3 linked regions of the Oryzias latipes genome follow. The protein of the gene in region 2 interacts with the protein of the main gene of each other region in a biochemical or structural test. Links are inferred from orthologs where the notes say so. Each region holds a gene or a part of one and is shown on either strand. Other genes may lie near its edges.

Region 1 (4,130 bases), on a different chromosome or scaffold from region 2:
GAGCCTGTGCAGCCCGGGGGAGGGGGGTGAGGCTGGGGGGCGGTTCTGCGGGCTCGGGCGGGTCCGGGTCTACAGGTCTGTCTCGCGCGTGTCCAGGCAGAAGGCGTACAGGGACTTCTTGAAGTCCACGCTGCTGTTCGCCTTCATGTTCTTCTCCCCCCCGTCGCCCCCCTCGTTCTTCTCCGCGTCCTGGGACTTGGCGGAGGCCCGGCTGCCCCGGCGCCGCGGCTCGGGGCTGGCGCGGCCGCTTGCGGGCTCGTCCTTCAGGGAGGACTGGTCCTGGTCGGTCTCGCGGTGGTAGAAGTAGTTGAAGTTGGACACGATGACCGGAACCGGCAGCGCGATGGTCAGAACCCCCGCGATGGCGCACAGCGAGCCCACGATCTTCCCCCCGACCGTCACCGGCCGCATGTCCCCGTAGCCCACCGTCGTCATGGTAACCACGGCCCACCAGAAGGCGTCGGGGATGCTGGAGAAGTGGGACTCGGGCTCGTCCGCCTCGGCGAAGTACACGGCGCTGGAGAAGAGGATGACTCCGATGAAGAGGAAGAAGATGAGCAGCCCCAGTTCGCGCATGCTGGCTTTCAGAGTCTGGCCCAGGATCTGCAGCCCCTTGGAGTGGCGGGACAGCTTGAAGATCCGGAAGACCCGGACCAGGCGGATGACCCTCAGGATGGCCAGAGACATGGCCTGCTGGCCGTTCTGGTGCTCCTGGCCCTGCTGCTCCGCCAGCTCCGTGCCCACCGTGATGAAGTAAGGCATGATGGACATGATGTCGATGATGTTCATGATGGTCTTGGAGAACTCCGACTTGCTGGGACACGCGAAGAAGCGCACGAACAGCTCGAAGGTGAACCAGATGACGCAGGTGGTCTCGACGATGAAGAACGGGTCCGAGAAGGTGAGGGAGGGCCGCGGCGCCGTGCCGTTGTCCGGCCGGACGCTCACGGCCAGCTCGCGCTCGTCCCGGAACTCCGGCAGCGTCTCCAGGCAGAAGGTGATGATGGAAATGGTGATGACGATCACGGACACGATGGCGATGCCCCGCGCCGGACTCGAACTCTCCGGGTACTCGAAGATGAGCCAGACCTGCTTCTGGAACTCGTTCTGGGGCAGCGGCTTCTCCTCCTCCTTGATGAAGCCCTCGTCCTCGCGGAACCGCTCCATGGCCTCTTCTCCCAGCTGGTAGAACCGGATCTCGTCGGCGAACACGTCGATGGACACGTTGACGGGTCTGCGGATCTTCCCCCCGGACTGATAAAAGTACAGAATCCCGTCGAAACTGGGCCGGTTCCGGTCGAAGAAGTACTCGTTCCGGAGCGGGTCGAAGTACTTGATCCTCTTGGCCGGGTCTCCCAGCAGCGTTTCCGGGAACTGGTTCAGAGTGCCCAGCTGGGTTTCGTACCTCAGCCCGGCGATGTTGATGAGCACCCGCTCGTTGCTCTCCGCGTCCACGTCCATGTCCAGCAGGTCCTCGTCGAACAGGTGGGGGCTGTGGTCCGCGCGTAAAAGCGCATCCATGGCGTTCTCGCTGCAGCTCAGCGTGGTGTTCATGTCGTTGATCTTCCAGGGGCTCAGCTGCTGCCGGGGGCTCCCGCGGGTGTTCAGCTCCTTCCCGCGCTCCTCTCCCAGCGCCGTTTGGACGAAGCCCGGTTGAGGGACCTCCAGCGCGTGCCGGCAGTTCTCCTCGGCATTCCCGCCGCCGCCTTTGGCGCCGCCGTTTTCAAAGCTCACCAAGGCGATCTCCATGCCGCTGCCATCCACGGTCACTGAAGCAGAAGCTGAGGGGGCGCGTGGAGCCCGAACATCCCGCAGGTTTGAGTCCGGATACAGGGGGGGGGGGGGGGGGGGGGGCTGTGCGCGCGGAGCTGAGCTCTGGATCACGGCTGCTCCGCGCGCGGGGGCATGCGTGGAACGCCGCCGCTCCGGAGCGCCGCAGCTGGGAGAGATGTCAACATCCAGACCGCGGGAAGAGACGCAGACCCGGATTAGAGAGCAGCCGCGATGATCACTCCTGACGTCAGGAGTGAGGCTCGCGCGCTCAGCCGCCGCGGAAAACCGAAACACGTCTGAGAGGAGAGAGAGATGCGCTCCCTCCCTCTCTCCAGCAGCGGAGACGCGCTCCGTTTGTGGCACAAAGCGCGCGCACGGCGGTTGCATTTCTGTGCTGTCAGTCAGCATTCAGAGACACCCCCCCCCTCCAAAAACACAGGGACGTGAACTCTTCTAAGGAACATTTGTGCAAATATCTCCATGCGGAACCAATATGTTCTCTGGGTTCTCCAGGGAACCCTTCACACCCACCGGTCTCAGAGGTCGAGTCCTCTGATCTGTTTTCAGAGCGTTCCCAGTTCCCTTTTCATCCTCTGACGTTTTAGTTCTGTTTTCTAGGACATAGTTTCTGCAGAGCGGCAGGAGTCTCTGATTTGTGGGCGGGGATTATGTGGGAGATTGATGAAGACTCTGGACTCCAGCTCTTCTTCACGCTTTGAATGTCCTTTTCAAAGAATGCCCCCCCCCCCCCTCTCTCCTTGTCTCTCCCAAAGCCGTCCTCCCACGTGACCAGCTCCTCGCCTTCTCTGCCTTTGTGTCCGAGTCCTCTCCTGTGGGGGGGGGGGGGGCGGCCCCCGGGCGGCACTCTGTCCTTTGAAGGAGCCTTTTCTCCAGGATCTTCTTTGTTCCTTTCAGCCGCGCTGGTCAAAGACCCTGAAGGAAACACGACTCTCCTCGTGCTTCTGTGACGTCATCGAGCCATCACACACCGCTGGAAACAAACTGTCAGCTTTTGGTGATGAAAAAAACAAACAAACAATCAAGTTGAGGTTTCAGATGATGAACGCTGAAAGTTTCCAGTCGTCACTGATGCTCCTCAGCTTGGAGCTGGCGGCGTTTCCACCTCCAAGCTCATGACGTCACATTCCTCCAGAATTCCTGTGGTTTTTGTGGACCAAACGAGCAGAGACTCGTCCCATGACAATGCTCCAGAAACTCCAAACGTTTGCAGTTCTGCTCGGCCTACGCCGTTCTGGACTAAGTGACGTCATCCATGAAGCTCCAACCAGCTCCAACCAGAGGGGGTCGATTCAGTCACCATTTCTGCACGACACGGACGTGATTCAGACAAAAATGGCAACTGAATTGACTTTCTTGATCCAAATGGGTCAGAGTCATTGTTTCTATGACAACCACTCTCACCAATCAGGAGGGAGCTTCTTAGAAGGCCACACCCCCACCGCTTGAAAGCGGCTACAAACTCTGAGTAAATCAGTAAAAGCGGATTTTCTGTGGCGACCCCTGAAGGGGGACAGCGGCGATACGATACGTATCCAGATATTTTATTGGAAAACTTTTTTTTTTAGGAGTATGACTTAAAAAACTGTACCTGGATATTAATGTGTCTTTCATCGTAATAATACGATCTAATGCAGTCTATTTAATGATTACAATGTTTAGCACTGCAACTGTATCACATACAGTGGTGGACAAAATAGTTGGTACCCCTCAGTTAAAGAAAGGAAGTCCACAATGTTCACTGAAATGACTTGAAAGGTTCAAAGGGAACAATAAATTAATATGTATTGAAAATTGAAAAATCAGAATCAACCATTACTTTTGAGTTTTTGATGAACAGAATTATTTAAAAAAAACAAACTAATGAAATAGGGCTGGACAAAAATGATGGTAACCATAACTTCATATTTTGTTGCACAACCTTTTGAGACAATCACTGCAACTAAACGGTTTCTGTATTTGTCAATGAGCCTTCTGCACCTGTCCACAGGTATTCTGGCCCCCTCCTCATGAGCAAACTGCTCCAGTTGTCTCAGGTTTGACGGTTCTCCAAATAGCATGTTTCAGCTCCTTCCACTGATGTTCAATGGGATTCAGATCTGGGCTCATAGAATCCACTTCAGAATAGTCCAACGCTTTTCTCTGAGCCATTCTTGGGGGTTTCTGGCTGTGTGTTTTGGATGGTTGTCCTGTTGGAAGACCCATGACCTGCGACTGAGACCAAGCTTTCTGACACTAGGCAGCACATTTCTACCCAGAATGCCTTGATAATCTGGAGATCTCATTTGACCTTCACAACTTCAAGACATCCTGTGGCAGATGCAGCAAAGCAGCCCCAA
Region 2 (3,649 bases):
AAAACGACATGAAAAGGAATTTCACTTAGAGGAAAATGAGGTCAAAATGGTGAAAAATGAAATGAAAACATTCAACATGTCTAATATTAGGTTCAGTTCGAAGACCCACTCTGTTGAAAATAGCTGTTTCTGTGTTTTTAACATGTCATTGTGGCATTTTTCTCATGATGAGGACATATACAAAGAAAATTAAGCTTGACTTTGCATTTCTGAGTATTTTTTATTCAATCGCCCTGAATCAGGAGCAGACTCACACACATTCTTCTTTTAAGTTGGGGATGTGAGCGGCTGCAAGCTAACGGGAGAGCTTGTAAACAGAAAGCTCTCAGCAAGAGAGAGAGTAAGAGGAGCAGTACTGCTCCGCTGTAACGGTTCCGCCCACAACTCGAAGGTGAATTTCTAAAAAAAAAAAAAACTCATGCTGCTATGAAAAAACTATGTCCTAGATAACAACAGGACTTTTTGATTTAGGCTAAAACGTTATAATCATAACTAAAAGATTACTGGGAACACTTTTACAATAGATATTTTATGAAGCCTAATGTACTGGTTTGTGTTGCTTCCTTTTCCCATTAAAATTGACAGAAAAAGTAAACAATCCCTTATTGTTGGGCTTTAACGTTGGGACATATTTGACTTTCCTATCAAAATTAATATTACATTTAGCCACATATCTTAAATGACTTCTTTATTTTAGTTTGCTTTAGTTTTAAGAATTGTTTCGACTTTGAATACTGCATCTGTAATTTTAAAATAAAAAGGTATGTCTGACAAGCTCAGCCTCAGGGCCTCCAAAGTCGAGGAACATCATTCGAACTCCGTCATCTGATGACATTCGAAGGCGCTCAAAGGGCTGCTGGAGGAGAATGCTTTTCCTGACTCCCATTTCTTCTGTATAAAGTGTGAAACCCTCGTCGATGTGCACTCCCAAAGTACACTCTTTCCCGTTCCAACTGCAGGCTGCAATGGCAGAAACAATAAATAAAGGTGAAAGGTGTTTTTTTTTTAAATAAAATAAGAAGTTATTTATTTATTTATTTTTCATAGTAGCTTCTAATTTTTATTTCATTTCAAATACAATTAAGACATGCTGAGATCATTTTCTAATAAAGTTTTCCGCACTACCCCCATGCAAACAGCAGAGGGCGTTATGAGTATAGGAAGTGAAACTGGATATGCTCAAATGTGCAATTGCAAAAACTACATCCACTAAATGTTTTGTTTTGGTTTTTAAGTTTTGCTTAAAAAGCCATAAAAATTGAAAATAGTCCGATTAGATTAACCTAGATTAGGATAAATACAGAGAAAAAAATCCAAAGTTTCAAAAGTTTATATATATATATATATATATATATTTTTTTTTTTTCTACTTTAGAAACTTTGGATTTCCGTTCTCCTTTTTCCTAGAATAGAATAAAAATCCTTATAGAGAAAAAACAGCAATCCTATGGGATCTGCAGAGAATACCTCTGGTGTTGAGTCACGAAGAAACTGCACAGCACGCCTTAAGAGCAACATGAAAACTTATTTTCTGGAAGGTTCTGTACCCGTGGTGACCTCTTTGATGAGCTCAGCAGCGTTGTGGCAACCCTCCACCAACAAATGGGTCCAAGCGGACAGCTCTTTCGCAGAGTCCACCCGGAACACGTGAGTCTCCACACCCTGTCTGGTTCCTGATCGCAGGCCAAAGGACAGCTCAGAGTCCGCATGCAGGCAACTTTTTCCTGGACCGGAGTGGACCAATCTGAGCGCATGGGGAGGAAATATTACTGGACTGCGGCTGGAAAAGACACCTGTTAAGAACTATTACAGATGCTCTAGCCAAGAAAAAAAAGATGGAAATGAGGCATGTAAGAGAGGAAGAAGTGAGAAAAATATGACTCATAGATTCTGCTAAAAATATAGTTTTTCCCCAGAGGTGTGATGTTGTAAAGCAGTTTAGATGTGGAAGGAGTGAACATGTGTAACAGGGAAGAAAAGAAAGAGAGCAAACTGGTTTACTGGACGGCAGAAAAAAAAGATGAGAGCAAAAGTCCTAAGCCACACATCCATGTGAGAACCTGGTGGTGATGAGCGGGTGGCTCTTGGTGGGGCTGCTGAGGCTCTGCTTGTTTTCAGGCAGTGATGGAAACAGCAGAAGGTCTTTCTCCGTCAACACAGCCAGGACTGCTTTCTCTGGACCCTGACGCATCTGCACACACAAACACCCACTTCACAGTCAAGTTAATCACCGAGACCTTTTGCTTTGCAAAGAATCTGCTCCTTCTGGATTCAAGGGAGCAGTTGTTCTCTAAACTTCAAATGCATTTGAAGAATCGTCCACATGAGGATGCCTAAATAGCTTCACATGTCATTTCTCACAGACTCTCTCACATTCCTAAGCAAAAAGCTTGAAGACAAACATCAAACTCTTGAAAATCTTGAACTTAAATGTGATTTAAAGCATTTTGTTGCTTCTGAAAGAAAATCAAAATGTAATTGATGGTATGTTTACAACATTTATTATAACTAATGTTTCCCATATGCCTTTTTGTTATTATCTACTTTGCGATGTTCTCTTTTGTGGTGTCTTCTTTGCAGGATAGGCTCCCAATAGTGAAGCTTTAACACCTAAAGGTATTTTTTTAGTGAGGATTTTATGAAAAGTAACAGTTGTCCAACACATATTTTTAAGTTTCAAATGTGTTATAAACAAACATGAAAAACTATTCTTCAATCTTTAGAGGGCTGTGGAGCATTTCCAGTGTGTGTAATAATCTCAGAAAAATCTAAAGCAGCGATGTCGGGTAATCTTAGATTGCTAAACAAAGCATCCAGCAGAGGTTGGTACAGCATGTAGAGGAGTTAACAGTCAGTGTGTTCTGAGCGGCTTCACAGGGAAACCACCTGATCTTGAGTTTATTTAGTAAGTAGCAAAAAAAAAAAAATGTGGGTTAGGTTGTGAAGGAAAGCTATTTCCAAAAAATATTCCTATCAGGGAACAGTGGATGCAGTTTATTTTTCTCAAACAGAAGACTGTTTTTGTTCTGTGTACACAAACGTATTCTAATTCCGGTATTCTACTAACCTGCTTAGTTGAGGCTTGTGTTTTGCTGCTGGACAGCTGAATTTCTCCCTTTTTGATCTATCTATTTTTAGGTATTTTTTCGGTGCAAAAAACTAAGGCAGAAAAAAGTTACTTACAAAATGCATTTATTGGTTCTACATAACAATAAATAAAATTGACCTATGTAGGTGATCTGCTTATTAAAATAAGAAAAACTATTAGCTCCCAGGAACCAAAAACTGGCCTGAAAACAAAACATTTTAACTTGCTCTTTTTTTTCATGTAGTTTGTTACAGTCGGGTGATGCCGTTACAGGTATTTCTAACAGACTTTTCACGCATGTCCCACAGATGTATAACTTTTACATTGTGTATAATATGAACACATAACGTTAAACTTAGGTGAAAAAACTAACTTAGTTAACTTAAGTTAACTAACTGACGCACGAATCGCTTATGAATTACATTTAAACAGCGCGATAATCACGAACAGTTCATGTTCTCAGTGGATTTACGTATTCTCTGTGCGTGGTTTATTCGTACTTTTTCCGTGGTTTTAACGTGGTTCATTAGTGATACATCGGTGAAAATCTCATGTAAAGAC
Region 3 (4,220 bases), on a different chromosome or scaffold from region 2:
CCTTTATCATATGACAGGAATAAATCAGTGCTTGTAGGGGATGAGGACTGAAAGCAAGCAAAGCTGCAGGAGGAAAGGCAAAGTGGAACACAGCCTTGACCAATATGATTTGTTACATCAGTGTTTCCTGTCATGACCTGCAATGACATTTCCAGTGTCAACACTTTTTCAGTCCACTGTTGTGTTTAATTACCCCAGGATATTTGATTAATAATGATATTTTTTTAAATAATTTTATCAGTATAGTTTAGTTTTTACTTTTTACTTTTTAGACCCAATCCCATCCTTGTTCCACTCTTTAGTAACCTGAGCATGCATGTGGTAGACCTTTGTACAGCACGTTTAGTTATTTTTTTTAATTTGAAAAAAAAGGAAAAATCTAAAACCAGGTTAATTTGTTTTGAATTAAGTTTGTTTTTAACCTGGCCGGATGTATTCTTCCTCATCTGAGATGCTGAGATACAAATCTTTCAGACGCTTTTTGCATGTGTGTAACAAGGATGTGCTTCCCCAAGTGTCACCGATTCAGTGCATGATCAGCGGGTGACTTAGGGTGGAGAGCTGTTGCTGCGCCTGTTTGTGCTACTGTGACTAAACATCTGGAATGAAGTTAGAGAATGCACATTTATATCAGATTTTCTGAAAGGAATTGTATGACCAAGGAAAATTTTATCTGATTTTACATGCTTAGTCATTGTCTTAATCTAACTCTGAATGCTATACCGAGTCGAACTGCCTGATACAACGCACAAAAGGGGAAACGAAAGTACAAATTTTAAAGAGCACATGGATGCAAGATAATAAATGTACCAATGCTGAAAACTGATGTTCAAGAAGTAACAGCTAGCTGTAAGGAGGACAAAGGTTAGAGTTCAATGTACCTGATTACATAAAATGACTGTAAAACTGTCAAAGCCAATGTTTGGTTCAGCTCGGCTGCATCGTTACACATTTATGTGACCATGTGTTCTGAATGACGCAAGCACATTGATAAGGACAAAGCATAAAGGTGAAGCTCCATTCAGATTTTACAGGATTTTTAACTGAAGAGAGAAGCAATTCTCCTTAAAACAGTTAAGATACCTGAACTTGTATTGTACTTTGAGCTGGTGCTCTACTTTTAACGGATACTGTACAACTGGAAGAGGTGCTGCATAATAAAGTGGGAAAAATTTACTTAAATCGTCACAATGAGTTTCTAAAGTTGTCTGAAAATTATGCTTTAAAAGTACGTTTTCTTTTTTTTAATAATCTGTGTTTTTGTGTACTCTTTGGAGATGGGACATGCTGTTTGAGGAAGCCCATATTTAAAAGGATCAATGCATGTGTGGGTTTGCATGTAGGAAATCTTACTTGCAATCTGACCCAACAGAAGAGAGGCATCTGTATGTATGGTAGCAAAGTAACATGCAGTTGTTGTTCCGTTTCTTAAAGTCCTCTTCTGTAAAGCACAGAAACCAAAGCATGGATTAACACTCATTTTAAATGCCTGTACAGTTTAGGTTACAAATCTCAAAGGCCACATGAAAAACTGCAAGCATACGGTGTCTTTATGACACTAAAATGACCCAACAACCTTTGTTATAGGGCCATGCTGAGACTGTTTAGTCTCAAAGATACCATTTGCCAAAACTCACCACTACTTGTGTGTAGATTTTCTTGGCAAACTCCAAGTCCTTGAAGTGTGACTCCACAGGGAAGGTGTAAGTATTGAGCCACTGCAGTAAAGGCATGTCCAAGGCTGTGCCTGCGTAGCTGTACTGGGATGCATGGATGTGTGTGTCAATCATTCCTGGCATGAAGAACTCACTGCAGAATCAAATTAAAGTTAGATAAAAAATGCATTTTTCAAATCATATTTCATTTATAATATATATTTTAAAGCAAGATATGCACATTTATGTTTCAAAGATGTGTTTTTTACATCCCGTCTTTGCCGACCAATATTATTGCTATTATGATGCTATTACCCATGCAGATTCCCCTTTACGTTGAGTTCATTCATTCATTTTTGGTCCTTTTTCAAGACGATCGTGTTCAAACTCATCCATCCCAATCAACTAAAATCAAAACTTGTAAATCTACAACTAAAGGTTTTGATTTGACTTACTGTTGTGCCAGTTGATTGACGTCTGATGGGTTGAATCCAAACTTCTGAGACAGTTCCAGTAAGTTTTCACCCTTTCCAATGAAAGAAATCTGACAAGCCAAAAAGAAATCAGGTAAATTCTTTTTGAAAATTGCAAGATGTGAAAGGTGAAAATGTTGATAAAATTCTGTGCAATGTAAAAATAAATTTGAAAAGAATTAATAACACTTTGAATAGACTGTACTTGGAAGATCCCCACTCAGGAGGTATTTTAGGGCAATATTGTTGCACTATTCTCAGAGTAATGCTGCAACATTGTTTTATAATGCTTGAGTGCAAACTGAGAAAAACTAACTTTAGTATTTTCTTAATTTTTATTTTACTTTCTAGGGAGAAGTTTTGCTGTTTATTTAGCCTCATCCTTTTATTGTGTTCAAAAACTTAAACAGTATTTAATAAAAGTTTACCATAACTAGACTATTAGGTTATGTGATTAATAGCAGTTGAAAAAAAAGACCTGCACTTTGCTTTAGATTCACGGGGATTTAAAGTAAACAAATGCTGCGAAAATTAACATTAACATACATTCGTTTATTTTTAAAACCAGTGAAACGCAAAAATGCAAATATTTCGTTTTGTTTTTATTTTCATTTCAGAAAGGGACCAACCTTCCCGGCAGTGTCCACTCCCAGGAGCGCGTCCTCCAGGACCTGCAGCGCCGTTTCGGGGGTCGAGTGGATAAATGTCCCCCTGAAAACGTGCGTAACTGGGCCGCTGGAACACTCCGAGTTTGCCATCTTTCCTCCAGATCACTGTCAATCACTCAGTTTGACATTGGCCGGTGGATTTTTATTCTAAGTGAAGCTCAGAGTAACACCCACTAGGAGGCAGGACTTCCAGCAGCCAATAGAAGGACAGGAGGTGGTTGCGCTTTTTCAGGTGCGTCTGCCCGCGCGGCTTGGGTTTATCCATAAACGCTTTTTTGTTGGCGTGCAGGAAAGTAAGCCCTCATCTTTTCTATTGTTCCAAAGAGTATGCCAAACTTTGCATTAACTTTAAATGTTATATAAGAATGGCAACATATAATATGCAGGAACATAATGAAAAAGGCTCGTTGAAGTCCATCAACTTCTGAAAGTAATTCCAAGTACATCCTTTTATAAATAAAGCAAAATGTTATACTATTTTTTTTCTTTAAAAATGCTTTGCAAATTGGCACATAACATTGTAATTTTTAACAGGGAGACAGATTTTTAAAAATTAACTTTATGATATAGAATTCCCGACCATTAAATAATCTGTGAAATAATTAATAGATTTATGACCAAAGTTTAGGTGCTGGCTTCTCATTCATATACTTGATACCCTTTAGGTGATGTACTTTTAAAATGTATACAGGTTTAATTTAACAATCCAGCTTAAAAACATGTTAAATTCAAGATTTTAAGACGTCTTTATGAGGGTGCTTAGAGTATTTAGCTACATGTGTCCCTGTATGAATGGTTGTACCCTGCCTTCATCCAAAATGTAATAGTCACCTTTTAGTGTAATTGTACCCGTTTTTTCTTTTTCTATAAAAATGAACACGCTAACATTTTTAATGACTATGGAACATGAAATTCAGAGATTTTATAGAGGAAAAGATTCTTCTTTTTCAAATAATATTGTATATGCAGAAAACAAGCCCAGTGAGGTGCATTAACAAGGGAATGTGACCCCTCTGTGACCAACACATTCATATTTATGAGAAACACATTGAAGTTACAACATTGTTATATTTATAAAGTCCACATGACTAATGACATGAATTTATGATGATGCTAGCATGCACCAAAGGGATGATCTGCACAGAACTTATGGTTATCCTGTGACTTGATGCAGAAAAAGGAGAACTTTCTCTGACATTTCTTATTTCTGAGTAAAAGTTACTTCATGGAAAACATTACATCATTTTTTTGGAAGGTAAAAGTTATCTGACTTTATGTGGCTGAACTTTCAGCATGGCACCCAGTGGCACCCAACTATAGCTCAAAATCCCCTTCACTCACAAATCAAAGTCACATAAACGTTTCAATAGTTTCAACACCTGGGCAAAAATGGCAGACCAATTATTTAAAAAAAATGTAAGAAA

Evidence for each region.
Region 1: the proteins of snta1 (region 2) and potassium voltage-gated channel subfamily A member 1-like interact in a test that uses a peptide from one of them, tested with the Homo sapiens proteins (2 studies listed by BioGRID and IntAct). The link is inferred for Oryzias latipes from reciprocal best matches to the Homo sapiens genes SNTA1 and KCNA5.
Region 3: the proteins of snta1 (region 2) and gda interact in a test that uses a peptide from one of them, tested with the Homo sapiens proteins (2 studies listed by BioGRID and IntAct). The link is inferred for Oryzias latipes from reciprocal best matches to the Homo sapiens genes SNTA1 and GDA.

What each region holds. Positions count from the first base shown.
Region 1 is NC_019881.2:23,512,039-23,516,168, reverse strand, and holds the start of potassium voltage-gated channel subfamily A member 1-like, read right to left. Parts: upstream 2,929-4,130; 5' UTR 2,182-2,928; coding exon 70-2,181; 3' UTR 1-69. UniProt on the Homo sapiens protein: Voltage-gated potassium channel that mediates transmembrane potassium transport in excitable membranes. Forms tetrameric potassium-selective channels through which potassium ions pass in accordance with their electrochemical gradient.
Region 2 is NC_019863.2:11,939,947-11,943,595, forward strand, and holds part of snta1 (alpha-1-syntrophin), read right to left. Parts: intron 2,192-3,649; coding exon 2,061-2,191; intron 1,745-2,060; coding exon 1,548-1,744; intron 961-1,547; coding exon 773-960; intron 1-772. UniProt on the Homo sapiens protein: Adapter protein that binds to and probably organizes the subcellular localization of a variety of membrane proteins. May link various receptors to the actin cytoskeleton and the extracellular matrix via the dystrophin glycoprotein complex.
Region 3 is NC_019867.2:16,716,919-16,721,138, reverse strand, and holds the start of gda (guanine deaminase), read right to left. Parts: upstream 2,939-4,220; 5' UTR 2,887-2,938; coding exon 2,758-2,886; intron 2,200-2,757; coding exon 2,111-2,199; intron 1,810-2,110; coding exon 1,638-1,809; intron 1,442-1,637; coding exon 1,354-1,441; intron 1-1,353. UniProt on the Homo sapiens protein: Catalyzes the hydrolytic deamination of guanine, producing xanthine and ammonia.